2 linked regions of the Cricetulus griseus genome follow. The protein of the gene in region 1 interacts with the protein of each later gene in a biochemical or structural test. Links are inferred from orthologs where the notes say so. Each region holds a gene or a part of one and is shown on either strand. Other genes may lie near its edges. The genes, in order: Arl2 and Unc119.

Region 1 (4,570 bases):
CAAAGCCCAAATAGAAAACCTCTTACCTCTCTCTGAGTTCCCAAAAAGGCAGCCCGACAGATAAGGCTAAACAAAGAACTGGGTACAGAGGCCTGAGAACAGATAACACCCTCCAACTGTGTCAACATTTCTCTGTCCTAAAGAAGATCCGATAGTTGTCAATTTGTAGTTGTAAAAGTCCCTGCCTAGGAGATAATTAACAAATTTAAACTTACTTCCTCTACAGCATCCTGCTTAATTGCATCCTGCTTAAACATAGTTATTGTTTCATCCTATGTAACCATAAAATTTTGCAATCTCAAGACATTCATTCATTTGAACCTTCCCTTTAAAAAAACACCCTCAGCAAAAAAAGCGGCACTCAGCCTGTTCCCAAACGGGCAGGGTCCGAGTTGCAAATCGTAAAAAAGAAACCTGTGTTTTTACATCGGTGTGTCGCTTCCTCGGTGATGGATTTTTGGGTTTCCACGATCTGGGCATAACAGTTTCACTATATGTCGCCCTGGCTTAGTCGATATGTAGACTAAGCTGGCCTCATCTACTTGCCTCTGACTTCCAGGTGCCGGGATTAAAAGTGTGTCACCAACCACGCGTTGGTGGCGCATGCCTTTAATCCCAACACTCAGGAGGTAGAGGCAGGAGGATCTCTGTGAGATCGAAGCCAGCCTGGTTTACAGAGCGGGTTCCAGGACAGCCAAGGATACACAGAAAAACCCTGTCTCAAGAAACAAAACAAAACAAAAAAGAACTAAGTCTTGGGCAAAGTCATTTACTGAACGACCTAACTGAACACACCTACTACATGCCAGCAGTGGGCTCCAATGTTTGTTAAGACAGGTTCTCTCTACTTAGCACTGGCTGACCTGGAACTTCTTAGGTACTCCAAATTGGCCTTGAACTCAGAGATCGGCCTGTCTCTTCCTCCCTAGTGCTGGGATTAAAGGCCACCACTACCCGGGTCGCCCGAGCTTCTCAACCTGACAGCTTCCCGGCGATCCTTTGTGCAGGTCTGATCGCTGCATTGCGGGAAGCTTGGAGCTTTAAATGACTATGACTATTGTGTGGTCACTGAAACAACCCAAAGGAGCCCTTACTGCCTGTACATTTCGAAACGGCCCCTAGGGGGCATCGTCACCCTCGACTAAACGCACAGAGCCATTTCCGACAGAGTCCCGGACCAGAATCAACCCGTTCTCACTGGCAGATGTGGATAATGCAAGTCACAAAATGAGCGGGAACCGGGCCATTTTACGGCCCCCGGATGATTGTCAGCCGCCTGTGGAACTAGGTTCGGACTCCTGGCTCAGAATCCCTTCGCGAGTTCTCCCTACCTAAACGAGATACAGCCCGAGATGTCAGCCCCGCGTCCCCGATGGAGGCCTTGGAGTCGGAGGGTTTGCTGATTTTTACCCAGGTCCCCTCCGAACCTCAGAAGCGAAGGGTTAAAGCAGCAGGCAGCAAATTCGCCGCCGCTTCGCTAGAGGGCGACGCCACGCACCCCGGTGATCACGTGGTGTCGAGGGCGGAACCAAGCACCAGACTGGCCAATAGGAGCCTGGAGCGGGGTCCCGGGACTGGAAGAAACGGCGGCCGGGAGGGGGCTACGGGATCATGGGGCTTCTGACCATTCTGAAGAAGATGAAGCAGAAAGAGCGAGAGCTGCGGCTGCTCATGCTGTATCCTCAGAGCGCCCCAGCGGCCGCGAGGGTAGCGGGACCCGCCGGGTGGGCGGAGCCGGGCGCGGGGGCGCGGCCGCCGTGGGTCCCCACCGCCGGTGGTGCGTCACTCACGCGGCGCTACCACTGCTCCGCGCGGGGCCGGGGCGGGCCGTACCACTCTGCGGGGCGGGGGGTTGCGTGCTAACGGCGGCGGTGTGGTCCTGAAGGCCGGCCCTGGACCCGGGTCTCCAGTGCCGTAGGAAGGCGCGCCGCGGTGGTGGTGACCCGGACGTCACGGTGTCTCGGGCTGGCTCGAACGTGGGCCCCGCTCCTCCCCAGCGCTGACCCCCTCCCCTTCGTGTAGGCCCTGGCGATTCCTTCAGGGCTGGAATCCCGGGGCGTGAGGACCGCCTAGGCCCCTGAGGGTAGGCGTGGACTTGGTCCCAGGTTAACTGTCACTCAGGGCCCCGGCCGACCTTCCATTGCATTAAGTAGCACCTGCATCGCCCGCCTTGTGTTGTGTCTGGCACCTGAGCATCTGTGATCCTCAAACTGGCAGGGAGAGAAGAGGTAAATTAATGTGCACTTCCAACGTTACCACCCGTGCCAGTTGTAGACAGTTTGAGAAAGACAGTCATTAGATTACTATTTATTGATTACTACTTATTTAGAGAATGCCGTGAAACAGGGAAACGAAAAAGCCTTCCTTGTGGATAATGGAAGAGGAGAAAGAAGTTGTAAAGCAAATAAATAAAATGTGTAGTTTGGGTTGAGAAGAACGTAGTCCGGAGTGGTCAAAGACCGTGCCAAGATAAGAAGTACTGGGCAAAGACTTGAGGAAGGTATTGATGTCTGGGGATGACCTCCAAGTGCAAAGGACCTGGGGGAGGATAAGACTACCATGTTCGAGGGAAGTCAAAGAGTGAAGAGTGACTACAGAGAGGGAGGAGACCTCATGGGCTGGGACCATTTAGGCCACAGGATGGTGGCTTGGAGCAGGATGGAGGAAGGGAGTAGTGGGTAGTAGTGCTGGTAGGACTTGCTGCTACACTGGAGGAAAATGTGAGGGAGAAGGGGAAGCCACGCCGGAATCCCTGGTTTCTGGCCACTTGCTAATACTGGAGAGGAGCAGGTCCTGACTCTGTTTGGGCAGGTGGGTGTTGGAAGGGTTGGGATAATCAGTGGCCGGCTTTCCAAGAGTAAAGTTGGACTGCTGATGAGAGGTAATCTGCTCACCCCCTCTCACAAAAGAGGGTTGTTATGTTTTATTTAAAAGGAGGAAAAGAGAAAGCTGCAAGATGAGACATGTTAACTAGTTTATTATATGGCCCGGCAGACTAAAAGAGAAGAGGAACAGGGGTAATGGCTGACCGCCATGGCCGGTCGCCATAGAGGCAGAGAGAGCTCGTAGGTGGGAGAAGAGAAGAGCAGAGAAGGAGTGAGCAAAGAGAGAGCGGCGTAAAGAGAGAAAGCAGAGAGACAGCGCGAAGCAGGAAAGTTGGAGCTTTTAAAGGGAAGACTGCGAGTGGGCACTGAGGTTCCAGGCATGCCCAGAGTCCTCATGCGTGGCGGGTGACATGGTGATGACTTAGCGCGTTTTCTAGTGCGTGCCCTGACCTTTCAAGGGTCACTGGGCCTGCAGGTGAGCAGGAAGAGGGTCTAAATGCAGAGCTTGCCCCTTCCCTCCCACCCCTCAATTCAGACTGTGGTCACCCCAAGTTCCCACGTGCCGTTGAGCTCACCCAGTGGTTTGTTCTCTGCAGCAGAGGCTGTGGATCATTCTAGAAACAGATGAAGGTGGTTGCCACCTCTAGATACTTGCGCCTTACTTGGTCCCTCAGAGGACTGGGCGCATCTATATTGGGTCTCAAGACCCCACCGAGCCTTATCTGATGCCTAAGTTGAAAGCCATTCCTTTCAGGAATGTCTCACAGGTTTCAGGGATCCCAGATACCCAACTTTGTCTGCTTTATTTAGTCTTTAATTTTTTTTCTTACACTTTATATGTGTAAGTATTTTACCTGTATATATGTATGTGTACTATGTTGAGCACCCGGTGCCCATAGCGGTCAGGGTTTGGTTGTGAACCACCATGTGGGTGGGTGTTGGGAACTGAACTCAAGTCCTCTGCAAGACCTGATGAGCCACCTCTCCAGCCCCATTATTTAGGTTTTTTGTTTTTTTGTTTTTTGTTTTTTTGCTAGTGTTTAAGTGTCATAAGGGTGAAGACTTTGTCCACCAACACCTGAGGAGGCCTGGCACATAATAGGCACTTAATATTTGTTGCTAACCAAAGTTACTTTAAGTTGGCCGAGATGATAATTACCTCAAACCACTTATGGGTCAGGCATGTGCTCCACTTGTTTCAATATACAGTAGTCCCTAAGAGTTTGGTAGTATGATGACATGTCCTCCAGCAGAGCTCAGAGACTTCTCCTTAGCTCTGTGTCCCAGTGGCTTGGACAATGCTGGCAAAACCACCATCCTCAAGAAGTTCAATGGGGAAGACGTGGACACCATCTCCCCAACACTGGGCTTCAACATCAAAACCCTGGAGCACCGGGGGTGAGTAGTGTCACTGAGGGGGAGCCACTGAGGGCCACTGTGTGGGGGCCAGGGGTGAGTAGGACCACTGAGGGCCACTGTGAGCACCGGGGGTGAGTAGGGCCACTGGGGGGGGGGGGGGGAAGGCACAGTGGGCAGGACCAGCCTGACCTTCATTGTCCCTTCCTTCCCAGATTCAAACTGAACATCTGGGATGTGGGTGGCCAGAAGTCTCTACGCTCCTACTGGCGGAACTACTTTGAGAGCACAGATGGCCTCATCTGGGTTGTGGACAGCGCCGACCGCCAGCGCATGCAGGACTGTCAGCGTGAGCTGCAGAGCCTGCTGGTGGAGGAGGTGTGCCCTGG
Region 2 (4,428 bases), on another chromosome or scaffold:
ATCCTCCTGTCTCTGGTCAAGATCTTTCTGGAAACTCACAAGTCCTGGAAAAAGCCTGAGAAGGTAGACTGAGCTGGGTGGCATGTCAGAGGTAGACTTCTTGTCTGGCCAAGCTAGGAGTGTTGGGCCAAGACACCAAAGTGAGGTTTGATGGTTTGTCTTCATTCTTCTCTGTTGGCTCTCCACCAACCAAAGGATGATGCTCAACGATGGACTCATCCTCCCTTCCCTCCCTATCCCACTGGCTTGAACTTAAAGGCCTTTGCCTGTCTACCCCTGGGCAGTGGCACCTTGTCCTTCCAGCCTGTCAGCACAGCATACTATGGCACTGAGGGGTCGATTTAGGGGAAATCCTTGGGTTAAATTGTAGCCCCCTCCTCTCCACTTCTAAGACTTTCTCCCTCCTTCCTCTCCTTCCTGACTGGTATCACCCATTGGGTACAGCCTAGCCTGGTCTAGGAGGCAGTGGCTTAGGAACTGGTTCCCCTCTACCCTTTCAGAGAGGCAGTGTGGTATAGGAGGAAACACTTCTGACTTAGAATCCAATAGGCCTGGATTGGACCCCTGCTGCACTGAGGTACTGGAGAGCTTTAGATAAGCAGCGCTTCTCACTGAGCCACAGGTTTTCATCTGTCGGAAAGCATTAATGACGTCACTCTCAGAAGGGCATTGGATTAAATGTGATAAGCATATAAAAGTGTTGTGTATATTGGGCTCTTTAAAAATATGTATTAGGTTGTTAATAAACATTGGTTGAATATGAGTTGATATGACATATCATTATTTTCACTCATGTGTGAGAAGCAGTCTGATCTGCCCTGAGCTCACAGGTCTTCCATGTCCCACCTGACTGTGGAGTCTGGGAATGGCTAGACACCTGGGCTGTGATATTTGCATGTTGTAGGGTGCCTAAAGCTGTGAATATATGCTTCTGCTTTTGAGCAGGAATTCTAGGGAGGAATAGCTTGAGCCAGTGACAGCCCTGGGATATTAACTCATCAGTTCAACAAAGGGAAATCCTGGGTACTGGCTGCCAGGAGCACTGTGCTAGCACTGGGATGTTATAGAGAACAGAGTATAGAGTATGGTTGCTTTCATAGATCTGACCTTTGAGGAGCAAAGGTCAGGGCACAAATACAAATAATTTTGCCTAATGCATTAGAAAAAAAAACAACAGGCTGGTTAGCTGGAAACTGAGAGGAAGTACTTTAGAACTGGGTGGGTGTGGGAGGTTGAGACTTGAACTGGAATCAGTTCAAGGATGGAGCTATCAGGGAAAGACCTTGAGGCTGGAACCCAGAGAGAAAGAGAGGTATTCAGTATACCTTACATTGTCCAAAAGAACCGTGAAGTTCAAGAGGACCCCAGGATCCTGACTCTACCGGAGGGGGTGGGGGGGGCGGAGGGGGGGAGATGCCAGTCGGTGGGCGGGGCATGCATGACGCGCCCGCTATGGGCGTGGACAAGGCGGGACGGCACCTGGGGCCCGACCGGGGGTGGGGCGGCGGACTCTTCCCCCTTCCCCCGACTCCAGCCAGCTCAGGCAGCAGACGCGGTAGCAGCAGGCGAGGATCCGCCGCCCCGCGAGGCCATGAAGGTGAAGAAGGGCGGCGGCGGGACCGGGACGGGGGCGGAGCCCGCTCCAGGGGCCTCGAACCGGAGTGTGGAACCCACGCGGGAGCCTAGGGCAGAATCCGAGTCCGGGTCCGAGTCGGAGCCAGAACCAGGCCCGGGGCCCAGGGTGGGACCGCTGCAGGGCAAGCAGCCCATCGGGCCGGACGACGTGCTGGGGCTGCAGCGGATTACGGGCGGTGAGCACCGGCAAGGGAGCGCCACCCGCGGGCTGGAGGGAGAGCTCGGGAGGGGGCCCACGAGGCTCAGAGTCCGGCCCCCGCGCTCACCCTTCCCCCACGCAGTGCCCCTCCTCTGTGTCCCTTTACTCTCCCTTTGCCTCCAAGCCTGAGATTTCTGTTATTTTCCTTGGTGTCTTGGTGCGCCCCTCCTCTACATGTAGTAGGGCTTATTTTCACCTCCCTCCTTCCTTTTCAAGGGGCCCACCCCTTTTCCCATGGTAGAGGTGGGGCAGCAGTTGCATCTGAACCCTTTCCCCTGTGGACTCTTTGAAGCTGGTCACAGAGGAGTGTGCCGGACTGGCAGTCTCTTAAGCACCTATCCTCTGGCGAGGTGGAGTCGAGGAATACCTCCAGGGTCCCTCACCCTGCTTCCCCATTAGGGCTAGCGCCATACTCTTCCCAGGAACGTTACTGATCGGGTGCTTCAGTCTGTTGGCTTGTGGGCTGTGTCATGGAAACAAGTGTGTGATCCCAAGCCTGGACTGGCTGGTACTTGTTTTTTTAACCAGGGCTCTCTCATCAATGGAAGCCCATTTTCCACTGGAGCTGTTTCCAAGCTGTGCTGCCTGGACTAGAGTCCCACTTTTGCCCCATAATTGGTTGTGTGACCTTGGGGATGTAATTTCATTTCCAGAGGCATGTTTTTTCATCTGTAAAATGGGAACAATGTTACCTCCCTCAAGGTTATTGTGAAATAAAGCCTGTCTCCTGCTTTTCGACAATGCTTGGCATGCTATGCATGCTATGTCAACAGGGCTTTTTTATCAACACAGGACTTGGTTCAGAGCAGCTGTCTGCAGGCAGATAAGTGAGCATTCAGGGCAGAGGCAGGCGTCACTACAGATGGTGAACAGGACTAGAGAGTCTTCTGGCAGAAGGTTGGCTGAGCCTTGAGGAATGGAAGGTATTTGGAGAGAAAGTGGCACACTGCCTTGGAATGGGTGGGTCACCAGCAACCTGCTCCAGCTCCCTTTGTGAGCTAGCAGTCCCTTTCTATGGGATGGACACAAGTGCTAGAGTGGAACCTAAAGCCTGGATGGATCTGCAGGAGCAGCAGAGCTGAGGGCTCCCAGACAGCTGTGGAGACCAGGATGGCAGGCCTGAGCTTGTGCATCTGGGTCCCTAGGGGCCTCCCTCCTCCGTTCAGAGCTAGGCAGCAGCGGCAGATTCTTGGCTAGACCTCCCTTGGACAAGCAGGCATCAGTGGAGGGGGGAGGGGCCTGGACCAGGCTGGTGTGGAAGCCAGTGGGCTGCATTTTGTAACAGCAGCCCATACAGTTCAATTTAGCCCTATGGGTGGGGGGCAGGATCACCTGCCTCACTCCTGGATAACTGAAGGCTTATTTTGCAACGAAGGAAGCCTCCAGGTGAAGTCACAGCATGGGTCTCCCAGTCTGGAGGGAATTCATAGCTTGTAGAGGTTGAGCAAGGACAAGTGCCTTGTGAGAGCCCTTTCCTGTGTGGGATTTGAAAACAGGGTTCCAGGCCTCTCCACCTTGCCTGCTATCTTCTGACCCTAATCACATAGGTCTGAGGTTTGCTGTTCCTGGATTACCAGGCCCTGAATCCGGCTTAGGGAGCTATTTGTGGCTACAGGGAGAGCAATTGGCTTCTGAGCCATTACTCTGGACTGACCTTGGGTCCTAGGCCTCTTGTTTTGCAGAGGGGAGAGAGTGGCTGCAGTGTCCTGAGCCCTAGGCAGCCCCTGACCCTCACTCCCTGCTAGGGCAGAGGGGCTGACAGATTGAGTTTTCAGTGTAAGAGACTAAGGTCTGGGTGTGAGAAGTTGTTCCCAGGGAGAGGAGAGGCTCCCAAGCTGGACACAGGGTAAAAAGGGAGGTTTTTCCTGGGAGTTGGGCAGCTAGGATCCTGCTTCCAGGTTCTGCCCACCCTCCCTTCCCTCTGCAGCATCTTCTATAGCTGTGGGGCAGACCTTACTGAGCTGTGATGGATAGGTCAGAGCTCAGCACCCTCTAAAATTTTATATAGTTTCTGCCAAGCTCCAAGGTGCTAGAGGGCTGTCAGGAGGGCTTCCTGGAGGGGGCTGCCCTAGGGAAGAGAGAATGACTTTGTATTCACTTCCTCTTCCAACCACAAGAGGAATAGGAGGTGGCCCAGGGGTGACTTCCGGCCTCTGTAGGTCAGCAGGGAGGATGTGGTACCTTAACAGCACCCAAGCCTCCCTAGCATTTTCTGCTCCTTCCTGTTTCTTGCCAGGGCTTCCCCTAGGACTTGCTATTGCTGCCATGAGAACAGTAAGTTGTATGAAGCAGGAAGAACAGGAGTTCAAGGCTAGCATCTGCCACCTAGTGGGTTTGAGGGTTAGCCTAGGCTACATGAGACCCCCGGCTTAGGAATAGCAACAACTGAAGAGAGGTTAGGGTCAGACCATGAACTCCCTAGGCAATGCCTAGCTTTCCTGGTTTCCTTCTGAGCCCAGGACTCTCCTTGCCTCATTCATATCCTGCTGCTCCAACCACACTCTCTTCTGGCTTGGCCAGAGAGCACTTTATCCCTGAAGGTGGCTCGAGGCCAAGGCTGGAAAAATGACCTCTAAGGATTCCCTCTGTTTGCT

Evidence for each region.
Region 2: the proteins of Arl2 (region 1) and Unc119 form a complex in vitro, tested with the Homo sapiens proteins (2 studies listed by BioGRID and IntAct, with this or other methods). The link is inferred for Cricetulus griseus from reciprocal best matches to the Homo sapiens genes ARL2 and UNC119.

The regions. Positions count from the first base shown.
Region 1 is NC_048596.1:53,197,939-53,202,508, forward strand, and holds the start of Arl2 (ADP-ribosylation factor-like protein 2), read left to right. Parts: upstream 1-1,473; 5' UTR 1,474-1,611; coding exon 1,612-1,676; intron 1,677-4,112; coding exon 4,113-4,223; intron 4,224-4,396; coding exon 4,397-4,559; intron 4,560-4,570. UniProt on the Homo sapiens protein: Small GTP-binding protein which cycles between an inactive GDP-bound and an active GTP-bound form, and the rate of cycling is regulated by guanine nucleotide exchange factors (GEF) and GTPase-activating proteins (GAP).
Region 2 is NC_048600.1:91,729,233-91,733,660, forward strand, and holds the start of Unc119 (protein unc-119 homolog A), read left to right. Parts: upstream 1-1,477; 5' UTR 1,478-1,591; coding exon 1,592-1,811; intron 1,812-2,626; exon of another isoform or gene 2,627-2,750; coding exon of another isoform or gene 2,751-2,757; intron 2,758-4,428. Other genes in the region: Pigs (GPI transamidase component PIG-S), read left to right, coding at 1-72. UniProt on the Homo sapiens protein: Involved in synaptic functions in photoreceptor cells, the signal transduction in immune cells as a Src family kinase activator, endosome recycling, the uptake of bacteria and endocytosis, protein trafficking in sensory neurons and as lipid-binding chaperone with specificity for a diverse subset of myristoylated proteins.